Pelodiscus sinensis: one gene and its partners. The protein of the gene in region 2 interacts with the protein of the main gene of each other region in a biochemical or structural test. Links are inferred from orthologs where the notes say so. Each region holds a gene or a part of one and is shown on either strand. Other genes may lie near its edges.

Evidence for each region.
Region 1: the proteins of AGO2 (region 2) and TNRC6B form a complex in vitro, tested with the Homo sapiens proteins (3 studies listed by BioGRID and IntAct, with this or other methods). The link is inferred for Pelodiscus sinensis from reciprocal best matches to the Homo sapiens genes AGO2 and TNRC6B.
Region 3: the proteins of AGO2 (region 2) and DICER1 form a complex in vitro, tested with the Homo sapiens proteins (2 studies listed by BioGRID and IntAct). The link is inferred for Pelodiscus sinensis from reciprocal best matches to the Homo sapiens genes AGO2 and DICER1.

The regions. Positions count from the first base shown.
Region 1 is NC_134711.1:90,366,545-90,370,288, reverse strand, and holds the start of TNRC6B (trinucleotide repeat-containing gene 6B protein), read left to right. Parts: upstream 1-1,297; 5' UTR 1,298-1,414; intron 1,415-1,468; exon of another isoform or gene 1,469-1,607; intron 1,608-1,613; exon of another isoform or gene 1,614-1,689; 5' UTR 1,690-1,783; intron 1,784-3,744.
Region 2 is NC_134712.1:7,742,994-7,746,737, reverse strand, and holds the start of AGO2 (protein argonaute-2), read right to left. Parts: upstream 2,319-3,744; 5' UTR 2,019-2,318; coding exon 1,967-2,018; intron 1-1,966.
Region 3 is NC_134714.1:28,338,076-28,341,819, reverse strand, and holds the start of DICER1 (endoribonuclease Dicer), read right to left. Parts: upstream 2,276-3,744; 5' UTR 2,065-2,275; intron 1,834-2,064; exon of another isoform or gene 1,650-1,833; intron 1-1,649. UniProt on the Homo sapiens protein: Double-stranded RNA (dsRNA) endoribonuclease playing a central role in short dsRNA-mediated post-transcriptional gene silencing.

The DNA of each region.
Region 1 (3,744 bases), on a different chromosome or scaffold from region 2:
AGTGGTAGAAATGTATCCCTTAGTCTGGTGCTGCTGAAACAAAAAACAGGACTATGTAGCACTTTAAAGACTAACAAGATGGTTTAATAGGTGATGAGCTTTCGTGGGCCAGACCCACTTCCTCAGATAAGAGTAGAAGAAAATTGTTATATGGTTGTGACAATTTTCTTCCACTATTTGATCTGAGGAAGTGGGTCTGGCCCACGAAAGCTCATCACCTATTAAACCATCTTGTTAGTCTTTAAAGTGCTGCACCTTCCTATTTCTCCTTCAGGCTGCGATCCCTTCAGTGTAAAACGCAGGAGTGCTGGAAAGAAGCCTAGGGCAGGGCGGCGGCTGCGCAGCGTAAAGGAGACGCTCCGTCACCTCACTGCTCTACCTGGTTCCTGTGGGTCACAAACAAGGGTTTCGCGTGAGACCCCCCCCCCCCAGACGCCAGAAAGGCGATTCGCGCTGTGCTGTGGCCGCTGCAGCAGCCAGGAGACCACTGAGATCCGTGCCAGAGTCACAGCCCAGCGCCGGCTGGGGCCGCGCTCGAGACTGTGGCTGCAGCAGGCAGGGCCGGGCTGAGACTGGGCCGCTGGATCAGGCTCTGCGGGGATGCACTCGGGCCGTAGACAAGCAGCTGAGGGGCCTCAGGATTAGCGCTCTGCGGCGCATGACAACGGGCCAATCAGAGGCGCGCTTAGAGGGAAGCCGCCCTATGACGCTATCAGTAGCTATGGTGGATACGCTTACTGTTGCCAAGGGCTGAAAAAGATGATAGGCGGGACACCCCAAACGCTTTCACCAATGACGTGCGCGCTTCATTAAGACTGACACCTTTCAGGCCCAATAGCGTTTCCCTCCGGCTATAACCTGCACGGGGCGGTGCAAGCTGGGGATAAATAGCGTCGCAAGCTGTGCCGGGTGTGCCCGTGTTGCGTCTCAGACAATAACTAACTGGGGGCGGGGCGTTGCATTTGTGGGTGTTTATCGCTGGGGCCCTTGTTGGTAACTTGGACACCAGTCAAACGCCTTCCCTCTGGCCGGGACCACACGGGAGCCGCTGTGCGTGCTTGATTGACGGTGATTTTACCTAGCTGAGCTAGGTAGTGCTGCCGGCGCGCAGTGACGCACCAACGCAGAAGTCTCTTTTAAGACCCGCAGCTTGGTGGGCGGGACTTTGTTTTGTGACGGGCCCAGCATTCATCCAATGGGTGGGAGAGAATAAAAATACAACCCAATGAAGGGTGCGGAAGAGCCCGAGAGTTGGGCGCGTTCTCGTCCAACGGCCTGGGTGTATAGCCAATGGGGAGAAAGGAGGAGGCGGTGCCAGACAATGAGTTAGGTGGAAGATGTATGTGACTGTCAGTGAGTGTAGCCAATGGGTGGGGAGATGGCGATGATGCCAGCCAATTGAAGTCGCAGAAAGGTGGGTATTGATGTGATAGGCAAGGGTTGTGGCTAATGGGCGGGGAGACTACGGAGACGCTATCCTATTAACAGTACGGAGGGGTGAAAAGAGGCGAGGTGTGTGATCGGCAGGAGCTGCGGCCAATGGGGGCGGACGCTGGCGCAACCCTGGCCAGTGAGCTGCGCAGGGGGCGTCACGGAGGCGTGTCTCGGTGTGTTTGGGTTCGTGCTCTCGGGGGGAGGGAGACGGCGACGAGGAAAGTTTTTATTTTTTAAATTGTATTTTGTTTCTAGTTTCTGGGGTTCGCGCTTCCCCTGCGGGTGACGCGGGTGGGTGAGAGGAGCCGCCCCCGGCGCTGAGGAGAACGGAACTACGCGCACCTCGGCGGTGAGTACGGGACAGGCCCCCCAGGCACAGGCAGCGCGGCGGGGGTCTCCGTCCGTCTCCCTGGGGCCCCGCGCTGCGTCTGTTCCCCCGCCCTCAGCGGGAGGGGTGGGGGCCTGGCTGGAGAGCCGCCCCGCCCGCCAGGGCTCCCTCCGGGCCACTCCTGCCTCGGAGCCGCAGGCGGCCGCTCGCTGGTCTCTGCCTGGGCGGTCCCGCTGGCTGCCCTCGGCCGGCTGGGGACTGAGGCGGCGCGCGCGGGGCCGGAGGGTGGCCCTAGGCCGGCGGGGTTTAACTGGTGCCCGAGCCCCGCCCCGTGCGGAGGGAGGGGCGGCTCCAGGCTCAGCCCGCGGGAGCCGAAACGGGAGCCGAGGCCCTGTGTGGGGCCTGCAGCGCTGCTCTGCCCGCGGCGTGCGAGGCCAGCTTGACCCGGCACGGCCTCGGCAACCGGCAGCGCGCGGGCCAGCGCAGAGCCTCAGTTGCCGCCGCGTAGCGCGCTGCGGGCCCCAGGGAGTGAGCAGGAGACTCTGAGCCCTGGCGGGTGGTTCTGCTTCCCGGCCGCCCCCAAGCAAGCCGCCAGCAAACCTCCAGTGGCTGGAGTTACCCCGCTCCGCTGCGTGCGGATGCGCTCCTGAGGTTATGTCGGTAGCACTACCGACCACATTGGATTTGTTGCATACGCGGCTGGTGGAATGAGTTTAGAGGCGGGAGGAGTAACCGAATTGAAGAGGAGTGTCCCAAGCCAAAGCCACTTTTCAGAGCTATTCCTGGCATAGGAAAATCCGAGGCGACACATTGCTAGGGCTGCTTCTCTCTCACTCTCGTGCCTGCTTTGTGGTGCTCCTTATGTTAATATATACGCTCTATGACTACATAGGGAAGTAACTGAAGTCACCTAATTTTGTGAGGCGTGGGCATGTTTTTTTTGTTAACTCAAGCCAAAAAATAAGTGGTCATGCTGAGGCCCCTCCATTTGCATTCACAGTCATACATGACCCTTCCGTTTTACTGTCCCAGTTTAGTTTCTATAACAGGGGTGGGCAATACTTTTTGTAAGGGGTGGGACACATCACCAATTTTGGTGGTAGTGGTGGCTGGCTGTGGGGCAGAGGAGCACATGAGATCTCTTGCACCTGCCCAGCCGAGGCACACAATGCCTAGAGGGAATTGCTAGTGTTTTGAACTGCTGGCCGTTCCCTCTGGAGCAGTGTACCCCTGATGGGGGGAGGAGACTCCATGCACTCTTCTGACCCTGGGTCTTGATTGGCCTGGAGGCAGGGCGCAGCGCTGCCAGCTGCAGACTGGATCAAATGGCTTGGCAGGCTGGATTCAGTCCCTGGGCCATATATTGCCCTTTCTATGAAGAAGCTTTTTTAATGTCAAAGTATATCTTGCTTTTTTAACTTTTGGGTTTAATATCCAGATTATTTTGAGGTGTCTGTACAGACTAGGGATGTTAAAAAGTGCTTAATTAGGTAACCATGTAACTGTTAAGTCTTAGCAGTTATTCGTAATGGGCTCTGCAGTATAAAGTTTTAACCCCCGGAGCTGGGCAGGCAGCAAGTGTGCACTGGAAGCTGGCTCTCAGCTGCTGACTCCACTCCTGGGGAGGCCTACAGCATGGGGCGGCAGCTCACTTCCACCTCCTGCTCTGCTCTTGGGGACCCAGTTGCCTCCCTTGCACTGCTGCCTCTGATTCAGGGTGGGTTGGGGGGGAGAAGAAAGAGAACAGGGTGAGGGGTGGTCTGGATTGAGGGGAGGAAGGGGTCCTTAGCCTTAGCCCAAGTCCCTGCCTTGAAGGACCCAGGCAAGGCGGCTGGTTAAATCTGCTAGTTTAAAAAAAAAAAAAATCAGTGTACCATTTGTCTCCTGGGCTATGTGTAGCAGTGAACAAAATGAATATTGTTGTTTGCGGGATTTGGCACTAAATCTTTTTATTACAGCCTAGCTATAGAAATAGGCTGCTT
Region 2 (3,744 bases):
TTTAAGTCCATTGCTTCTTGTCCTATCATCAGAGGTTAAGGAAAATATTTTTTCTCCCTCCTCCTTGTAACACCCTTTTAGGTTCTTGAAAGCTGCTATCATGTTCCCTCGGTTTCCTCTTTTCTAGACTAAATAAACACAATCTATCAATCTTTCCTTATAGGTCAATTTCCTAGACCTTTTGTGGTTGCTCTTCTATGGACCTTCATCCAATTTGACCACATCTTTCCTGAAACGTGATGCCCAGAAGTAGACACAATACTTCAGTGGAGGCATACAAAGTAAAGTGGAAGAATTATTTCTCGTGTCTTACTCACAACACACCTGTTAATGCATACCAGAATGATTGCTTTTTTGGCAACAGTGTCACACAGTTGACTCCTATTTAGCTTGTGGTCCACTATGATTCCTAGATTTCTTTCTGCAGTACTCCTTTCTAGACAGTCACTTCCCATTGTGTGTGAAAATGGAAAGGCACACATTTGTGAAGGAGAACAGGCTGCAGTTCCTGCTCTGGTAAATATTTACTATTCTTTGCTTTTATAACCAATGCACACAAACTCTCACTTTCACTTTCTTGGTTACAAGCTTATTTGGGAATATAAACTTCTCCTTGGTGGGTTCCAGGCCAAAAGAAAGATTATTCATTGCCAAATGATACAGTATGGCAACATCCATCATAACTGGTGAATTCCTCCTGAACACTTTGATGCACTTGAACCACTCCACAACAGCAAACCCAGCTGCCACAGTGGCGGCAGGGCCTCACACTAGTGTTATAAACTCAATCGAAGTTGCAAGAACGGCAATGCCAGCATGTCTACTAGATCCTTGGTAGTGGCAGCAATGCAGTCACAAATAGTTAGTGCAACAATGACCTGCTGGGACATAGGACAGCCATGGTAAGCTCCAAGCCAATAAGTACTGGCAACAGCAGCAACATGTACTGGAGATAGCAACTGGGATCCTGCCTGGTGACTCTACAATACCATGCAGGCAGCAACAGGATGTCAGTGGACATCTTAATGCAGAGGTTCTCAAATTATGGGTCACAGCTCCATTTTAATGGTGTCACCCTGGCTAACATTAGACTTGGAGTGTGGGCCGAAGTCTCAGTCCTACTGTCTGGACGGAAGCCAAAGCTCGAGGGTTTCAGCCCTGGATGTCTCCACCTGCAGCTGAAGACCTGGCATTTGTGGTTTGGTGCCCCATCACCCCAGGCGGCTGAGCTCGGGCAGGTTTCTGCCTGGGTCCCCATTCCGGGGGAGGACGGGCTTGTGCAGTAGTTTCTGTTGCCAGGAAGGGATTGCAGTGCAGTGAAGTTTGAGCACCTCTGCCCCAGTGCGTGCATGGACCACCACGGGCTCCATGGCTACCAAGCACTAACCCCCCGCCCGGCTCCGGCTGGTGGAGCAGGGGCGGGCTGCGCGAGGCGAGCAGGCCCCTGGAGTTCCTGCGGCAGCTTCGCAGCGCCAGGTCGGCCGCCCCTCCCCGCCACCGCAGGCTTCCCGCGGGGCCTTGCACCCGACGTCTCCTCGGCTCCCCACCGCGGCCGAAGGAGGGAGGGACCCCTGCCCACAAAGGGGCCTGAGGAGACGCACGCTCGCTCGAGCCCTCCCCGAGGAGGAGGAGGAGGGGGGGACGGCGGCCGCCTGACCCCTCCTTCCCCGCCCCTTCGGCAGCACACAGCCGGGCCGCTGCGGCCATTCCGGGAGTCTCCACAAGGCCCAGCGGCGGCGGGGAGAGGGAAGCCGACGCGCGCGCTGGGGCGCGCGAGGGCTTCAACCTCCCCCCCCGCCTCCGCGCTGGGCGGTTGGCACCTCGCGCGCGCGCGCTCGCCCCCCCCCACCCCACCTCCGTCTCGCGGGGGGGACCTCGCGCCGCGTCTCGCGCGGTTCACGCACCAACGGTCCCACGCGTTCAAACCAAGCTGGAGCCGGGGAGGAGCGGGCGGCTGGGGACTCACCGGGTCCGGGAGAGGCGGCGGCAGCGGCGGCGGGAGCAGCTCCTGGGTACATGTCTCCGCGTGAGGAGGCGGCGGCGGCGGCGGCGGCAGCGCCTCTCCGCAGGGCCGGCGGTTCCTACCTCAGCGGCCGCTCTGGGGAACTAGCCCGAGCCCCGGCTGCACTCTCAAGGCAGGGAGGAGGAGGGCCGACTCCGAGCCGGGGAACCAGGTTACTCGGCGGCGCTGGGGCTGGGAGGAGCCGGGTGGTCACGGGGGAGGCAGAGGCTCCTCCCACCCAGTGTCCGTCTCCCTCCCTTTGCCGGCGGGAAGCGCCGCCTCAGCGACCAGGGGCTGCCCTCAGCGCCGCCGCACGCTCCCCCCCCCCCCCCCCCCCGCCTCGCTGAAGCGGCTGCACCCTGCTCCTCCCCTCCCTCGTGTGCGGGCTGGAGGGACATTCCCGCCCCCGCCTTCCCTGGCAGAGCTGCCCCAGCTTAAAGAGCTGTGGGAGCAGTTGTATTGGGGTGTTGAGAGCCGTGCCCCAAACTGTCTAGGGCTGTGTCTAGACTGCAGGGTTTTTTTTTTTTTTCGAAAAAAGTAGCTTTTTTTCGAAAAATGTCACCTGCGTCTAGACTACAGCCCCGTTCTTTCGAAATTAAATCGAGAAAGAACGCGGCTTTTCTTTCGACGGCGGTACTCCTCATTTCGCGAAGAATAACGCCTTTTTGCGAAAGTGCTCTTTCGAAAAAAGGCGCTATGTTATGCAAACTGTGCTTTTTCGAAAGAGAGCATCCAGACTGCCGGGGTGCTCTCTTTCGAAAAAGCGGCTTGCTTTTTCGAAAGTACGGGTTGCAGTCTAGATGCTCTTTTTCGAAAGCGGCTTTTTCGAAAATATCTTTCGAAAAAGCCTCTTTTGAAAGAGGCTTGCAGGCTAGACGTAGCCTAGGAGGGAAACCTCTTCAAGCCAAAGGGTGCGCCCACACCCCCTAACTTAGTTCCAGCATCACCTATGGCGCAAACCCTGCCCCCAGGACTCCCTAGCAAGCCTGACCGTAGGAGAAGGGGGCAAAGAGGCAACTGTCCTAGGACTCCGCCATTCAAAAAGGCCCAGGGCTCCAGGGGTGCCATTTCAGAAGGGGAGGGAGAGGGGGAGTGAGACCTTGAAGGGAAATCGACTGAGGACAGAGGCTTTAGCAGTGTTACTTATAGGGATATTAAATTGCGAGTAATTGGCTACTTGACTAGTCTGCATTTTGCATTGACTATTTGATTAGTCGATAGGGCACCTCCGCCTTTGACGTGTAGCAACAGCCCTAAGGCTGTTGCTACACATCAAAGGCAAAAGTGCCGCCGCATGAGTCAACCTGGGACTCCCCCACTGACCCCGGGTTTCATGCAGCACTGCTGCTTTGAAGCGCTGCAGGGAGCCCGGCGTCAGGATCCTTGCAGCATTTCAAAGCGTCAGCACTGCATGGAGTGGAGCCCAGGATCAACGGGCGACTCTCCTGCTGACCCAGAGCTCCATCCGGTGCTGCCGCTTTGAAACTCTGCGAAGAGCCTGGGGACACCACAGCTGGCCCAGTTCACTCACTGTGTTTCAAAGCAGCAGCACTGTGTGGAGCCCGGGGTCTGGCCCCAGGCTCCATGCAGCATTGTTGCTTTGAAGTTCGCCTCTTCTTCTCCCCCCTTCCGCCTCCCCACCTTGCTGCCTCTTTCTGAGAGAAGCAGCGGGGGGGGGGGCACAGAAGCAACCATTCGACTAGACTTTCACATCCCTAGTTACTTAGCATGCTTAGTACTTA
Region 3 (3,744 bases), on a different chromosome or scaffold from region 2:
CATTAAATACTACAGATTGTGACCCCACAAGATATGAGCTAGCATGGAAAGGCCTTCCCTTTAGAAAAATATTAAGATACATGGGGATTGAGTTTGTACCTATATCAAACCATTAAAAGACCAGAGTTGTTAAAAATATATATGCAACTCTGCTTCTGTATATAGCACTTCACAAATAAAAGAATGAACCTCCCAATGAATTTACAGTCTAAACAAGACACAGGACAACAGGAGAAGAATAAGCATTACTAAACACACACTGATTAGTTAACTAAAGATATACATCAAAGTGTTTTCACATGAGATCTCTAGATTTGTAAACTAAATAGGCAGGCTCTCCCTTTCTCACTAGTGGAATTCATGGCCATCTTGCTTAAGCAATCATTTGCTGCTTAAAAAACAGAACTGATAATATTAAGGCTACGTCTACACTGGCATGATTTAGCGCAAATACTTTTATTGGGGAAAAACTCTTCCGTTAAAAGTATTTGCACAAGAGAGCATCTACACTGACATGAGCTTTTGTGCAAAAGCATCCGTGCCAGTGTAGACGCTCTCTTGTGCAAGAAAGCTCCAATGGCTATTTTAGCCATCGGGCTTTCTTGCGCAAGAAATTAACATTGCCTGAGCAGAAACGTCAGAGTATTTGTGCAAGAAGCCCTGATTTTGTACATTACAACATCAGTGTTCTTGTGCAAATACTCGTGGCCAGTGTAGACAGGCAGCAAGATTTTGCACAAAAGCGGCCACTTTTGTGCAAAATCTTGCCAATGTAGACACAGCCCAAGTGTATAGGATGTTCTAAGTTTTCAGTGGCCAAGACTTAACCCCATCAACAAGCTATCTTCTCCCAAAGGCCTGTTATCTCAGGAACAAAATCAATACACAAAGAAATGCAAGAGTTTGTTTCAGGTTTGTATCAATATATGACCCACTTTTTTTCCCCTATTGCAGCACTTTCTTTTCTATAGCATGGAGCACAACGTAAATGCTTTAATGTGCCACTTGGACTTTGCAATATTTTTCATACAGGTTATGGGGGAGGATCTTGTAATGTTCTCACTGTATATTTACGGCATGCAGTGCCCCCGCTAGTTTCAGCTAGGGGAGGTGGTGAAGGAGAGAGAGAAGCGATCCTTAAAAACTCTCCAGGAGTAACATTTATCAGTTAGAACTACACCCCTCCACACCCGCATCAAAAGCCCTTCACCCCTTTAATAACGGGTCTCTCATTGGCGCTGGGGAAGCAACTCCCGGGAATCCCAGCTGTGGTCTGAGGGAGGCAGGGATGCGTGGGGACGGGGCTCCTCAGCAGGCCCGGGGAGAGAGAGAAGACAAAGCCAGCGAGAAGGGCTGAGACGCAGGCCCCCGTCGGAGACCCTTCGCCTTGGGCGCCGCTGAGCCGGGTCCATGGGCATGGCGGCAACGGGGGTGGCTAGGCCCCGGCAGGCAGGGCCAGGCGGGGGCTGCGCACAGGTGAACCAGGCCTTGGGAGCGAGGGGAGGCTCAGCCGGGCGCCAAAGGGGCCGAGCCGCGCACATGTCCAGAGCGGGCGGTGGCACAAGCTGCCCGGCCCCGCCGCTGGGTGCCCGGCCCCGCCATGAAGCCACCGGCCCAGGCACACGCCAGAGCCGCCCGCCGCCTCCTACCTGCCGAGCTGGACCCAGACCAGCGCTTCCCCGCTACAGGCCGCGTCTCATTGTGCTGCTCCCGCCGCCATTTCCCCGCCGCGGCCTCACTCCCCCCAGCTGTCAGGTTCCTCCATTCACCTGGGCCCGGGACAGCCTCCTACCCTCCCTTCCCCGTGCGAGGCCGGCCCTACGCAAACAGAGCACCACCCCGCGCCCTCCACCCACCACCACAGGACCGCCCAACGCAAGCAGCGTACAGCCGCTCTGAGAATGCCAACCCCCACAGCTCACACCCTCCACTCTCCCCAGCCCATGAGAGGAGTGAGGCGATTGGAGTAAAAAGGGGGTCAGAGGTCAAGGGTTTACAGGATGGCCAATCAGCTGACAGGAGACAGCAAACGCTTGGGACGGCAGGAGCCTTCCACGGACTCACGTGTGTTGCTTCGTCCTCTCTATTCCCTGCTGAACCCTGCGTGGCGCGCCCCGGGGCGATGGTGTCGCACGCAGGCGCCCTCGCTCCGCACAGGCGGGAGATACCGCACGCAGACGCCTCTTCCGGCGGGGGGCGAGTTTCAGGAGCCGATTCCCCGCTCACCTCCCAGCTCAGGTGGCGGAGGGGGAGGATACCCAGCTCTAGGGTTGCCAACTTTCTATTGGTGCCCCCAACATCCTGGCTCCGCCTTTCGCCCGCGGCCCCGCCTCCCCCCACAAGCCCCCCCCTCCCTCCTTTCGCGGGGCGGGGGCGGGAGATGCTGAGGGCACCAGCTGGGCTCTGGAGTGGGGAAAGGGATGAAGGGTTTGCTGTGCAGTAGGGAGCGCCAGGCTGAGGGGTGGGCCTGAGGGATTCAAGATGCAGGAGGGAGTAAGGGTTTTAGGGTGGGGCAAGAGGCAGAAGTGCAGGTGATGAAGGCTTTGGGGTGGGGCTGGGGGTGAAGGGGTGCAGAGGCGGCCTCAGGGAGGGGGTAGGGGTAGGAGCTTGTGCTGGAACATGAGAACAGCCATACTGGGTCAGAACAAGGCTCCATCTAGCCCAATATGCTGTTTTCCAATAGTGGCCAATGACAGGTGCTCTAGAGGGAATGAACAGAACGGGTAATCTTCAAATGATCAAATTTAAAACACCTAGATAAATTCATGGAGATTACCATCAATGGCTAGGATGGATAGGAATGGTGTCCCTAGCCTCTGTTTGTGAGAGGCTGGAAATGGGTGACAGGAGAGAGATCACTTGACAATTACCTGTTGTGTTCCCTCCCTCTGGGTCAGCAAACCACCAGACTAACAATTATGCCAAGTTTTTTGTAGGCATCACAGCAAATTAGAGTTTTTAGGAAGGATTTGAAGGAGGATGAAATAGTTCTATGGTGTTAATGATTCTCTACTCAACATACAATTCAGTTCAAAATCTGTATCCCAGTTTAAAACTCCCCATGGAATTGGCCCTACCTACTTGAGGGAGGAGTTCTTTCTCCAACTCTGATCTCTCACAAAAGGCCTGGTCCACACAAGTTTTTTTGGCATAACTTTGTTGGCCAGGAGCATGAAGAAAACTCACACACTCCAACCAACATTGCTGTGCCAGCAAAAGCCTACATATGGATGCAGGTATGTGCCAAGACAACACTGAGCCTGCTTCTCCTGACAGCCTGGGCACCCTGGAGCCCTGTCTTGTTGAGCCTACCTCTCCAGCTTGCGTCAAACAAAACACAAGGATAAGGCCACACCATGAAGGCTGCAGATACACCTGAAAGCAGCACAGAGTGAGTCCTTTTCCCAGAAGTCAAGTAAACATCTCCTCTGGGAGCTAATCCTAGAAAAATCTGATTTATGTTGTATAGATAGCTATACAGTACAAGCTCATGAAAATGCCTCTCTTTGGGTTTGTCTACACTGCATGGCTATTTTGGGATACCACAAGTATCCCAAAATAGCTATCCTGCATCTACATAAGCCATCTGTTATTTCAAAATATTTTTAACAGGTGTGCTATTTCACCATCCTGATCAACCTAATTGAACAAGGGATAAAGGATGGCTTGAAATAGCATGTTATTTTGAAATTTGGTGCTGTGTAGACGTGCCAAATATCGAAATAAAGTCTTTCAAAATAGATT